Ovis aries: one gene and its partners. The protein of the gene in region 3 purifies or fractionates together with the protein of the main gene of each other region. This does not show direct contact. Links are inferred from orthologs where the notes say so. Each region holds a gene or a part of one and is shown on either strand. Other genes may lie near its edges.

Region 1 (4,099 bases), about 61 Mb from region 3:
GGAGAGTTCTACAGTTCTGTGATGAGCCCCTCTGCAGGTGGGTGGGGGGCTCTGGGGCTCTCCTCCTCACCACCCCAGCACTGCCAGTGCTGCAAAGGATCCCTGAGAGGAAAAACTCGGCTCTGAGCATTTAAAGAGAAGGATTCAGTCTTCTGTTATCAAGAACATAGCTTGGTCATTCCACAGGAGGGACAGACAAAACACAAGCTGGCGGCTGTCACTGGTGGACACAGTGAATAGCCCAGAAATGGCTGGAGGGAGAGGAAGATCCTCAAAGGTTAAACATAAATTTAAAAGACAAGGGGGGCGGGGAATCCCTGGAGGGCCGATCTAGAAGTACGGACCTTCGAGGATCCATCCCCGGCCTTTGCCCATTTCCCAGCCCTCCCAGCGCCTACTCGATCCCACGGGACCTGACTGGACTGCAGAAAGTCTCTACCAACGACATTAAGCCAGTAGAGCCCTGCGATTTTTCTCCAGTTACTGTTACAGAGGCGGGAAAACTGGAATTTTGCAATCCGAGTTGCAGCCAGACGACTAGACGCAAATGGGTGACGGAGGGGCGTTGTAGGAGGCTGCAGCATCCCAAAGTGGAAGGCGGTGCAGAAAGCCTGCAGCCCCGCAGCGCCCAGCAACTAGCCGGGAAGAGTGCCCCACGCCCCGGCGGAGCGCGAGCTCCAGCCGGGTACAGAGCAACCAGGCGCGCGCCCGCGCGTGCGCTAAAGGCCCACCCATCCCAGCGCGTCTCCAGGTGCGCTCGCGCTTCCGGCCGGCCTTCGCTGGGCGGAAACTCCAGGACTCGCGCATGCGCTTTGGAGCTCGCCTGCGGGGTCCGGAGCGCCCCTCCCGGCTTCAGGTGATCCCACCCCTCCCTCGCCGCGCGGGACCAATCGAACGGCGGCAGGCGGGCTTTTCGAGCAGGAGGCCCCGCCCACGCGCGGCGCGAGGCGGGTACCGATTGGTTGGCGCCGCGGGCGCAGGTGCGCGCTTCCCATTGGGTGGGGGCGGAGCGCGGGCTGCCGAGGCTTCGGCGGAGGCTGCAGGTGAGCGCGCGCACGCGCCGCGGCGGCGGCCCGGCCCGAGGGGAGGGAGCGCGCGCGCGCGCGGGGCCGGCAGCCGAGAGCGAGGCTGCGGCGCGTGTCCCCGCCGCTCCGCCCCCTCCGCCGCCTCCGCCGTCGCGGCCGCCGCCGAGGCCGGGAGGGCGGGCTCCGCGTCCCCGCCCGCCGCGCCGCCAGTCCGACCCTCGGTCCTGCAGCGTGAGGAGCCAGCCGAGCGGGGCCTGGCGCGGAGACGCGAGCCGCGGCCGCCCCTCTGCAGGTGCCTGTGAGGAGGAGCCCGGGCCGCCGCCGCCGCCGCCGCCGCGTCCCGAGCCCGCCGGCCGCGCACTCGCCCCGCGCGCCCCCGAGGGGCGGCCCGGCTGGAGGAGGCCGCCGCGGGCCCGGCCTCAGGATGAACCGCGGCCACCGGCACGGGGCGGGCAGCGGCTGCCTGGGCACCATGGAGGTGAAGAGCAAGGTGCGCGGGCCCGGGCAAGCTGGGGGCCCCCGGGGGCGGGGGGCCGCAGTGACCGGGCCTGGGGCCCCCAGGGGCTGGCCGGGTGTATGGGGCCGCCGGGGCCGCGCTGGGGGGACTTGGGGGCTGGAGACGGTGGGGAATGAACTTGCCGAGGATTGGCGGCGGGGGGCCCTTGTGTCCGCTCCCGCCCCCAGGTAAGGCAGGAGCCCCACCGAGCGCTTAATCCCCTTCCGTGAGCAATCATTCCCCTTCAAGGATGGGAGTCAGGCCCAAGGCATACCCGAGGATGGGGGGGCATTTGAGCGAGCGCAACGTGGTACGAAAGGTTTGGAGGAATTCTGCCTTCTGGCATGTGAGTAAAGAGTTTGAAACATCCGTAGTCACCCAAATGTAAAAGTTAGCCTTTGCTTCCTGTAGGGATTTTTCGAACACGAACTTTGGTATGCATTGAATCTTGTAAAGTGAACACTGTCACCTTTCGGGTGAGTGGCACTTAGCAGTTTTGAGTTTGGATGCCCTTCTCATTCCATCCTGCTACTCTTTCAGGTCAAGTGTTTTTTCCCTCTTGACCAACGGTATGCCTATCTGCCGATGACAACGTGTGGGTATCCTCTGAATTCCTAAATTGCAAGGCTCCCTGAGCAGGACAGTGTATCGGGATTAGTGAGGGAATGCTTTCTAAGGGAGGTTTTGAGCTGGAATTTGAAGACGATCGGCAGCCCCAAGAACATTCTCAAGCAAGCATTTCATGAATTGAAGAGCCAGAAGGGACTTAGATAATCTAGTCTGATTCTCGGAGAAGACAGGGGCTCAGAAAGGTTTTGACTTCAACAAGCTCTGCTTTTTATGACAAAACCTTAAAGCCCTTTTTACAAGATAAGTTTTAGGCCTTCTGGAATACTAAAGAGAGCACGCGGAGCTGAGCCCCCTGAACGTTTAAAATAAGAGTTGGAAAGATCAAGACACAGGGAAGAGTAGGAGAAAAGGAAAAGCGTATTAACTTCAAAAATAATGAAACCTTACTGAATATAAGATAACAGGGATGTGGTAGAAGGGAGAACGCAAAATCAAGGAGTGATTTTCAGTGAAGGAGAGTAAGGAAGGCTCTCTGGGGTAGAAGGGTTTTTATTATCTGGAGTTGATAAGTGAAGTCCTGTAAGTTGCCATAACTGAGATCTGCATTCATTTTTAACATTTTAAGACATCATTTTCAACTTAACTGGTATCACAGTAGGTACTAATTTCAAAAACCCTTCTGCTTAATAAGAACAGAAATATAGCAGGTTCAGAAATACACTGTCTCCTGTGTCCTCCATGGAATTGCCATGGCAAATTGAAGTGACATGCTTGAACTAAGAGTTAAGATAACAAAATATATAGCGAGTTTTTCCTCTAGCATATAGTGGTAGTAGTGGTTCTGTGGCCAATGGTTGAACCTTCTCACAGCATTTCTGTTATAAATCTAGTTTGGGTTTGTGGGAGTTGAGGTTAAGGAAAGAAAAACACGATATTGCGTAATCTTAAAATTCAGTTTGTGGTCCTAATCTTGGTAGCAAGTCTTTAACTTTTTATCATAGGAAAAAAATGAGTAGGGATTCTAGGTGCTCTGATTAAATACAGTCAAATGGTAATTTATCTTTCAGATTAGGAAACCTTGAGCGTGTAGGGACTAGAATTTCAGGCTTTCCATGCTTCTCTTCTGTCAACTGGTTTGTGAATCTTTCCCACACTACCCATTATATATTTGGCCTGCTCTTCTGGTAAACCGTAGCTCTTAAACAGAATCAAGGGTCCCACTCATTCTAGCTGCTGATCAGTAGGCACAGGGGAAGTACAGTTTCCAGTGCGTCTCTGACACCTTGTGTTTTAACTGTACATTTATTTTTAAGGGGTTAAAGAAAAGCACTTGACATCTTCACCATTTAAACAATATTTGGACAGATAGGTGGAACAATATGTCCATTTTCACTGCTTTGGTGGTAATATTACAGCTTTTTACAAAGTTGATAAGGAAGAGGTTGTGACCCCAACTCTGTGGTATGCAGATCCACATTTCAGGATTTCTTTTTCTTCTACATAAAAAGCAAGTTGTCAACGTCATGTCTTTGCTCATGGAAGGAGAAAATGCTACAAATAAAGTAATGGATCATGCAAATATAAGTATAGTTAAGTTGTGATACCAGTTACCATGTGACTTTTCTTTACAGTAACTTTCTGGTAACATTTATCTTCCTGTATCTATAGAGTTGAGAGAGCTATTAATAATCAAGGAGATGTCCTTCAGCAGTCTTGGATGTCAAAGACCTGGAATAGTCATTGAGCTGTACATTTCCTGGTTATTATTCATGGGGAACCAATACTAAAATCAAGTTTACATTTCTAAAGTGTTGTACCTAAAAATGCTGGGTGATGGGTGTCCATCCCCATGACCAGGCCAAACTAGACCAGGCTAAAAAAAAGTTTGAATAGTTGTTGATTGAGTCTTAATTTTATCTCTATTTTTGTATTTTTTTTCACGTGGTAAAAAGTTCTCTTAATCCTGTTGTGCTGCAAGAATCATAACAATTTCTCTTTTTTTTCTGCT
Region 2 (3,646 bases), on a different chromosome or scaffold from region 3:
TGCTTCCTTTTGGCATTACTCTCGTGAAGTGCAGAAGGGTAGAATTATTTCTAATTATGAGTAAAAAACAAAACAAAATATGGCACTGACGGATTAAACTTCTTATCCAAGGCCATGATCCTTCCCCACCAAAGTCCTCGAAAAACTATTTACTATCTTGTATAATAATATCAAATTAAGGGCAAAACAAATGATATTTAATACTCTTTCTCTTATTAATCAACATATATGGAGTAAGAGGGGGGAATGCCAAAGGCAGAATAATTCAGAAACTATAACTATGGAAGAACAGTCCGAATTACATCATAGGTTAAGAGGAATTGTTTCATTACGCTCAAGTATATATGAACAATAACCTTTATTCTATTTTATTTCATTTTATTGGCTGTGCTGTGAGGCATGCCAGAGGGATCTTAGTTCCCTGGGATTGAACCCATGCCCCCGGCATTAAGGGCGCAGAGTCTTAACCACTGGACCGCCAGGGAAGTCCCAACAATCATCTTCTAACGAAAAACTGTCAGAGATCATTGCATAATAAGATTAATATGTTTATATATTCATTCATTATTTCAGTGGCTGATACTGAATAGGCAAAATATTTGAAAATAATTGAGCTTAGTCGACTGAAGGCTTCCCCTTGAATACTGTTTATACCTCTCAACTGCTTATAATTAGATTATTCTATATGTAATATATAATGCTATATATATAATATTAAAATGTAAATTAATTTTCAGCTCAGCCTCTACATAACTTACAGAGAATTAGTTGGAATCAAAATAAATGATTTATCTACTGTTTTCAACCACCGACATACAAAAAGTCCCAGAACTACTCCTACCAAAATCCAACACAAAGAAACAATAAACACAAAACTTACCTGGCATGCTCTTCAGGAAGTTTTCTTTGTCGTTGCATATGAAACATTAAATCTCCTCCATTAACATACTCTATAACAAAGAACAATCTAAAACACAGGAGAGAACACGTGAAACCAAGATCCAAAATAAGGCTGTGTTCACGTCTGCAGTTTAAACACTACAGAGACCAGTCACAGTACAGAGAGCTCTACAAGATAAACCCTCAACAAATATTCCAGGAATTTGGTGGAAACAAAGGGTGACTGGAGGAGAAAGCTGTTTAACCACAGAGGATACAAGAAAGTAAACCAGAAAGATAGTAATTTTGTAACTTGCTACTTTCATTCTGGAGTAGTGCCACTTACAATCCAGAACTCCCACCCCAATCCAATTTTAGAATGTGCAGTATAAGTCATTTCCAATCGTCATTTAAAGTGAAAGAAGTTAGGATTTACCACCTAATTAAACTCTAGGAAATTTTAAGTCCTAAAACTAGAATTTTGGTGATATTTAAAAGGTTGGATATCTACTTTCTCCTGTCATAATTCTGACTTTTTTTTGGTGTAAAGCAGGTAATTTCCTAATGCTGATCCAACAGGAGTTGCCGGCAATTATAAACACAGTACTGTTGTGTCTCCATGTGATTTCCACTTCAGGAATTACTGTAAAATAGGTTCTTACTGTATAATAGACCAAAATGTTCTTATTGTGTCAAACCCAGGAATCATTCCATTATCTTTCAATCTTACCTGCTTTCTGTCTGAAAGCAAGAATGCAGCCCAACAAGAAAAGGATGATTGGACGCCTGTTCAAAAACATGTTTCTCTGTCTGTACCCAGTCAATATCCTATTTTAAAATATGAAGGAAATTTATGTCAAACTAGAATGACAGTATCAAAACTATGGCAAATTTGTTCTTAGTAATTCTATTACCATAAATGCAACTATTGACTAACTGGGCTAAACATCAGAAACATCGATAATCATGAAATAATAATTTATATACAAAGAGAAACTACTACCCAGCAAATCTTTCAATATTATTAAAGAGTCTAGCAAACTTTTACAAAGCTCAAGTACTCTCCCTTGATAATAATATGGTTTGATGTTTATTTTTTTAAATCTAATAATCATCAGACAACTTTAAATATATCTTATATATTAAGCAGTCTGAAGCATGTATTTAGAAAAGCACACTAAAACAGTAAGGCACAAACACTGACATTTTTTCTGATATCATACACTTAAGCCAATGTAATAGTTTAGAGGCAATAAAACATCGTTGTGCTCACCTCATCATCATTGACAAGCTCTTTTTTCACAACTTTCATTGCATAAATACGATCTGTTTTTTTTAATCGCACCAACAGTACTTTAGCATAACTTCCTCTTCCTATTACTCGGAGCAAATCAAAATCCTGAAGACCTAAACTGGAAGAAGCTTTGCCGCTTTCCCTGGTGTTCATTGCCTGTTGAGAACATTTATATCAAAGAGCTATACCTGAAGTATTTTGCATAACACAATATACTTCTAACACCCAGATACACCTGTAAGATTTGTAAATATTTTCTGATTTAAATTCTTAATTATTTTCTTATATCAACCCAAATGATACAATTGCACTACTTAAGAGATAGGATAAATTCATGAGTTGAGATCAGAGGGGTGATGTTTGGAATGGAGAAGAAGCTGAAACCTGAGAAACTTTAAAAGATGTCTTTAAAAGAATCTGATAACTTTGGGGTATGGAGGCAATGAAGATAGAAGCATTAAAAAAAAAAAAAAAAGACACTAACTTTGGTGACCAGGAGATTGGAGACATCACTGATAGAAAAAGAAAGTATGCACACAGAATAAGATTGGCAGAGTTGATGAGATAATGAGCTCAGTTTTTCACACTGAAGTTAGAAGTTACAAGTGAGACATCAAGATGAGTCAGCTAGGAGCTTAATGTATGAAAGCTGAGTTAAAACTATACGCAGAAAGCAAGCATGAGGCAGCTCAGCTAATGTAAAACATTCTTATTTACACAATATCAAGGCTCCTTTGGGATGACAGCCCTGTAATTCATTCAGAACCAGAAACTTAGGCTTCTGATTCTTCACAAAGAAGACGAAAGATAATCTTTTATTAGATGCCTGCAAAATTGTCAGCATACAACCAACAGATGTACGCATGAGAATTAAGTGTGAATTCTCTGAAGTAAAGTATATAAACAAAAGCAAGGAGCAACTTTCAGAAAGAAACTAGTAAGCACCAATGCGGGGGTGGGGGGGAGAGGATTATGAAAACTGAAGGAGAATGATGATTCAAAAGAAAATGTAGAAATAATAATCTGACTTGGGAAACAAGGATAAATAAAAAGGAGTGAAAAAAACCAGATTAGGGCAGATTAAGAATGCAGAAAATGGTAAAAAAAGATAAAACAATGTATAGACTAAGTATGGTTAATAGGAAACCATAAAAGAATCAAATGGAGTGAAGGTAACAGTTTCTTCACATAAACAATACTAAGTCTGAATGAAATGACAGAGCCAGAAAACAGTGGAATGTCACCTTTTAAAGGGCCTAAACCCCCCCACTCCCGATGTTCTATAATCCTAAAGCCTGTAAAAATACCCTTCAAAATGAAAGTGAAATAAACACATTTTCAAAAAAACAAAAAATAAAGAAATCCATCACTAGTTGTTCTCACTAAAGGAAACACTGAGTTTTTCAGGAAGATGATCTCATACGGAAGCAGACACACAGGAAGGACACAGAACAAAAAGAATAAGATGTGGAT
Region 3 (4,261 bases):
GCAATTTAATATATGCTTCATTAAAGGTATTGGTATAACCCCAGTACACATTTTTTTTTCATCTAACGCAGATTGGAAGTAATATTTAATGCTTTGTTTGTATCTTCCATCAGTTACTGAATCCACCTACTTGTTAGATCTCTCACATTCTTCTTCAGTTTTGTCCCGATGGTGAAAGCGTGGCTTCTCACAGCTCCAGGAGATGATGCTCCGGCAGCCTCTGTGGCTTGAGCAGTGGAACCTCAATGCCTTGCTGTCCTGTTGATCTTGTGGGGATTGAGTTCCCTGATCACTTGCTCATCCCTTGCGCACACTGGACACTCCCAGGGAGGTGGACCCCCCTCCCACCACCTCTCAGCCCCAATCCTGCCCTGCCTCATCCAACTTAGCATGCTCACCCTGTCTTTGGAGAAAAGGGGTCAGTTTTTTTGTGTCCTCCTGCTTGCCATCTTGCTAAACCCAGGTGCCAGTCAAACATCCCTGCAGCATTAGCCTCCATCACTTTCCTTCTTTTCATATGGTTTAATTTACACTGTATTCTTTCCACAGTTGTTTGACTGTTTTCAAAAACAGCATGGATAGAAAGAAACCTAATTTGAAGGTTAGAATTCTGTTATTTTTAGAATGCAGCCTCCTCAGCCCTGGAATTGATTTCATTTGGTTGTCACTGGTCTTTGTGGAGAGTGAACCTGGCTTAGGATTCACATGTAACCTAGTCAAGTTGCTTCAGTGTTGTATTACTTTGCATAAGCTTTGTCAAGGGGGCGTGAATATTTGCTGTAGATTCAGAGTTAATGCATCGCCCTTCTCAAGGTACTTCCATTGTCCTTCTGCTGTGATGGGGCTCAAAACTGCGTCAAGTGCCCTGAAATCAGTCTGAAAAGTTCTTAGTTCATAACATTGTGACTTCTCATTAAATGGCAGTGACAGTCCTTAAAGGCATATTATCTTATTTAAATTATGATGAGTTTTGCTTTCCTAAATCAGTGGGCGCAATTTTAGGACTCTAGTGGCATTTATATGTGTATATATAGGTATTATTTTAGGTGCGTTGAGAAGAATTCTTGACAAGGTACAAAATGGCATCAATTCCAAGGCACTTTTTTTTTTTTTTTCCCAAAAAGTAAGGGGAAAAAAAGAAAAGCGAGTGTCAGTAGTCTACACTTGATTTATATTTACTGTGGGAGCAATGGTTTCCCATATATCTTACACCATAAACTGAAATTTTGGTGCCAGTACCCTGGTGTGCGGTTCTATCCAGAATGGAGACAGGTTTTTGCAGGGATGTCATGTGACTGTGAGATGGGCCCCAGAGACGCTTTGTGTCAAAACAAATACTCACCTGGTCCAAATGGAGTTTGCCCCTTGTTTGTTGATTGGAGATTTTTAGTTAAGAATGGGCTCTGGTGTTCAGATGCTTGGATATGTTGATGTTATGCTGCTTCAGTCTCCTGTGTGCTGGTTCAGGCTCTGCTGTGATGTGAACAGAGCCCTGTCTTGGTGTTGGGAGGTGGTCAGAGGGCTGGGCTGGACACGCCTGAGGCCGCCAGTATGTGGGGCTGGTGACTGAAAGGTGGGGGTGCTTCTCTGGCTCACATAGCACATGTCAGACGGGTTTTCTGTTTTCCTTGTGGAGTTTTGTTGACCTGCTTTTCACTTTAGTCTGTTGATAAACAGGAAGTGCTGTTGCAGGGCTGAGAGGGGGTGTCTGAAGGACTTTTACTGTTAAGCCCATATAGGATTTCATTTTAAAAAGAGGAGAGGTGAGGGGTTGGAGAATGTAACCCAAGATAATCCCACAATCCTTAGTTTTGGGATTTTAACCAGTGTGATTTGCGGTCTTTCAAAATGCTTGTTGGATCTCGAACTGTGGGTCCACACCTGCAGCTTCTGTGGGTGGCAGCTTGCTTAAATAGTTGTTTAGAGCAAACACGAAGCTGGAGATGATGTTTGGGTTGGGGGCTTGAGTGTCCGTGATTCCCGCTCAGGTTTAGAGAGCCTCTTCTGCAGCCTGGCCCCCAGAGTTCCTGTGTGTGCGCCTCAGCTCTCCACATCCCGGTCCTGTGAAGAGAGGAGTCGGGTACAAGACAGGTGCTGAGGGGGTGTGTGTGTGTGCTGTCTGGGCTTTACTCCCCACTGTCCAAACATGCCATGTACATCTTGGCCTCCTCACCTTTGTCTGAAGACGTCCCCCACTTGAGGGGGCGTAATTCCTTTGTGAAGTGTTCTTTGTCTCTATTTGTTTTTGTAATTCCTGTACCACTTGATTGGCATTTAATTTTGATACCTAGGAATTGTTAGTGAACTTTCCACACACCTGTGGTTTCCCTCCCAAAGTTGATTTGAAGTCTTGGCGGGCACGGGCCTCCATAGACCTGGCTGGACCCCTTTATCCTAAAACACAAGCTCAACTTTGAGACTGAGTGTTAAGGTTTTCATTGGCTGGTGGCGTGTCACATGCCAGCCTGTCACCTGCAGCTGTTAAACTGGGTAATGAGAGCGCAGTGTTTTCAGTCATTAGGAGCCGCTGAGTGGATGTTCTTCCCTATCCTCGACTGTTCCTGCTGGCAGGAGTCTTTAGCTTGGATGGGCCTGTGGCCTTGCTCCCTGCTTCCTAATCTGGATGGTGCAGAGCGTGGTCCTGCTGCCATCAGGAGGCTCCCTGTGTTTGGAAAGGTGGATGGATTGACAGCTCAGAACTCTGCTACTGCCAAGACATGTGTCTGTAAACACGTGCTCAGCAGAGGATGGTGTAGGTAGGGGAGGTTAGGTAGTTTTAATTTTGTATGATGAGTTGCTTTCAAGATCAGATTATGGTGGTTGTGAAAATGCTTATCTTCCCTCCACTTTGAAAAGGAGAGCTATTTGGAGTGTGTTCAATTTTTGTGTCTGCTTGAGCAATGTGTGACCCTCAGTGACAACGTACCTCCTTCATTGCTACACACATGGCCTCGAGTGTCTGCAGGTGGGAAATGACTGCATCGTTGGGCCACTGAGTCCATGGGGTCTTTTTTTTCACTGCCTTCTCGTTGTTGCTCTTGGTAGACGGGCTACATGCCTGTGTCATTAAAGCTCTGCCTTTGTGCCCAGTCCACTGTATCTGTGCATCTTCAGTGCTTCACAAACCAGCCTTGCTTCTGTTTTGCTGTCTTCCCACCCTGCCTGATAAGTTTATAGTGACATGTCTTACTGTTGTTTGAGGTAGTCCATTTCATGCTTTAATTACTAGTTGTATAATTAGGTTTTGCCTGAGTTCCCAAACAGCTAATTTGTTTCTTTGCATCCATGCAGGATTTTTATCGGAGACTTTAGGTATGATGCAGAATATGTTGGGTCTGTGCCTGCTATATTTCCTGTTTTAGTGCTTCGATTGCACAGCTTAGCATTTTGTTTTGTTTCTTTGGGAACACTGTGCACTATATTTTCTTAGAAGTAGTACATTGAAGGCACAGTTAACTAAATTTCAAATGCCTCATAACGGAAAACTTTACAAGGACAGCAAACTAACTGTGTATCTAAGGGATTAGGAAACGATATGGCGTTAACCTCTATAATCTGCTCACATATTTCATAAGGTATCTTGAAGCCCTTTCTTTCAAATTCCCCCATTTCAAATCAATTTGAAATTGACCAGATAAAGCCAGATAAGTTTGTGAGTCACACTAGGGATTTTCAAGGAAAAATTTTAAGTGCGAACACACTTGGAAACCTATGAGTTAGCAAAGGAATACAAATTGACCTTTGGTATTGGGTCACCAGTAACACCGATGAGTTTTAGGGTGTGGGGCTGTGTTTAAGTGACTTGGGGCTAGGGACCATTTGCTGCTGTAACCCTGTGTCTGTTCAGTGCCTGCCATCGAGTAGATGCTCCTTGAGTGTGTGAATCAGGTCCTGAGGCTTGATTAGGGTGATACTGTAAACATGCACATCTTCCAGACACTGTTGTGAGTGCCGTGGAGAGACAGGGCAGGAGACAAAATGAGACTGGAGGCTGCTGCTGTGCAGGGTAGATGTTAGCAGGCACTGACATTTGGGTGAGCTTTCCCCGGGGTTTCCAGGAGGGGCCCAGCGAGCTATAGCAAGTCCGAGTGACAAGGAGACCCCGTGCATTCACTGGCCCGGGTCTCGGTGTTCGTGGTGACTGTGTGCTTTGTCTGTCTGTCGCTCTCTTCTCTGCTGAAAATCATCCTAAAAGCTGATGCAGGTTCCTCGCCTGCACATATGTCCAAGGTAATGAGACTTGGAGAGGACTCTGGTCTCT

Evidence for each region.
Region 1: the proteins of PARD3 (region 3) and PARD6B purify together in Homo sapiens (affinity purification with mass spectrometry; 5 studies listed by BioGRID and IntAct, counting the BioPlex papers as one, with this or other methods). This does not show direct contact. The link is inferred for Ovis aries from reciprocal best matches to the Homo sapiens genes PARD3 and PARD6B.
Region 2: the proteins of PARD3 (region 3) and PRKCI purify together in Homo sapiens (affinity purification with western blotting; 5 studies listed by BioGRID and IntAct, with this or other methods). This does not show direct contact. The link is inferred for Ovis aries from reciprocal best matches to the Homo sapiens genes PARD3 and PRKCI.

What each region holds. Positions count from the first base shown.
Region 1 is NC_056066.1:78,706,338-78,710,436, forward strand, and holds the start of PARD6B (partitioning defective 6 homolog beta), read left to right. Parts: upstream 1-1,233; 5' UTR 1,234-1,449; coding exon 1,450-1,515; intron 1,516-4,099. UniProt on the Homo sapiens protein: Adapter protein involved in asymmetrical cell division and cell polarization processes. Probably involved in formation of epithelial tight junctions.
Region 2 is NC_056054.1:217,793,474-217,797,119, forward strand, and holds part of PRKCI (protein kinase C iota type), read right to left. Parts: intron 2,330-3,646; coding exon 2,153-2,329; intron 1,708-2,152; coding exon 1,610-1,707; intron 968-1,609; coding exon 881-967; intron 1-880.
Region 3 is NC_056066.1:17,894,943-17,899,203, forward strand, and holds the start of PARD3 (partitioning defective 3 homolog), read left to right. Parts: upstream 1-1,392; 5' UTR 1,393-4,261. UniProt on the Homo sapiens protein: Adapter protein involved in asymmetrical cell division and cell polarization processes. Seems to play a central role in the formation of epithelial tight junctions. Targets the phosphatase PTEN to cell junctions.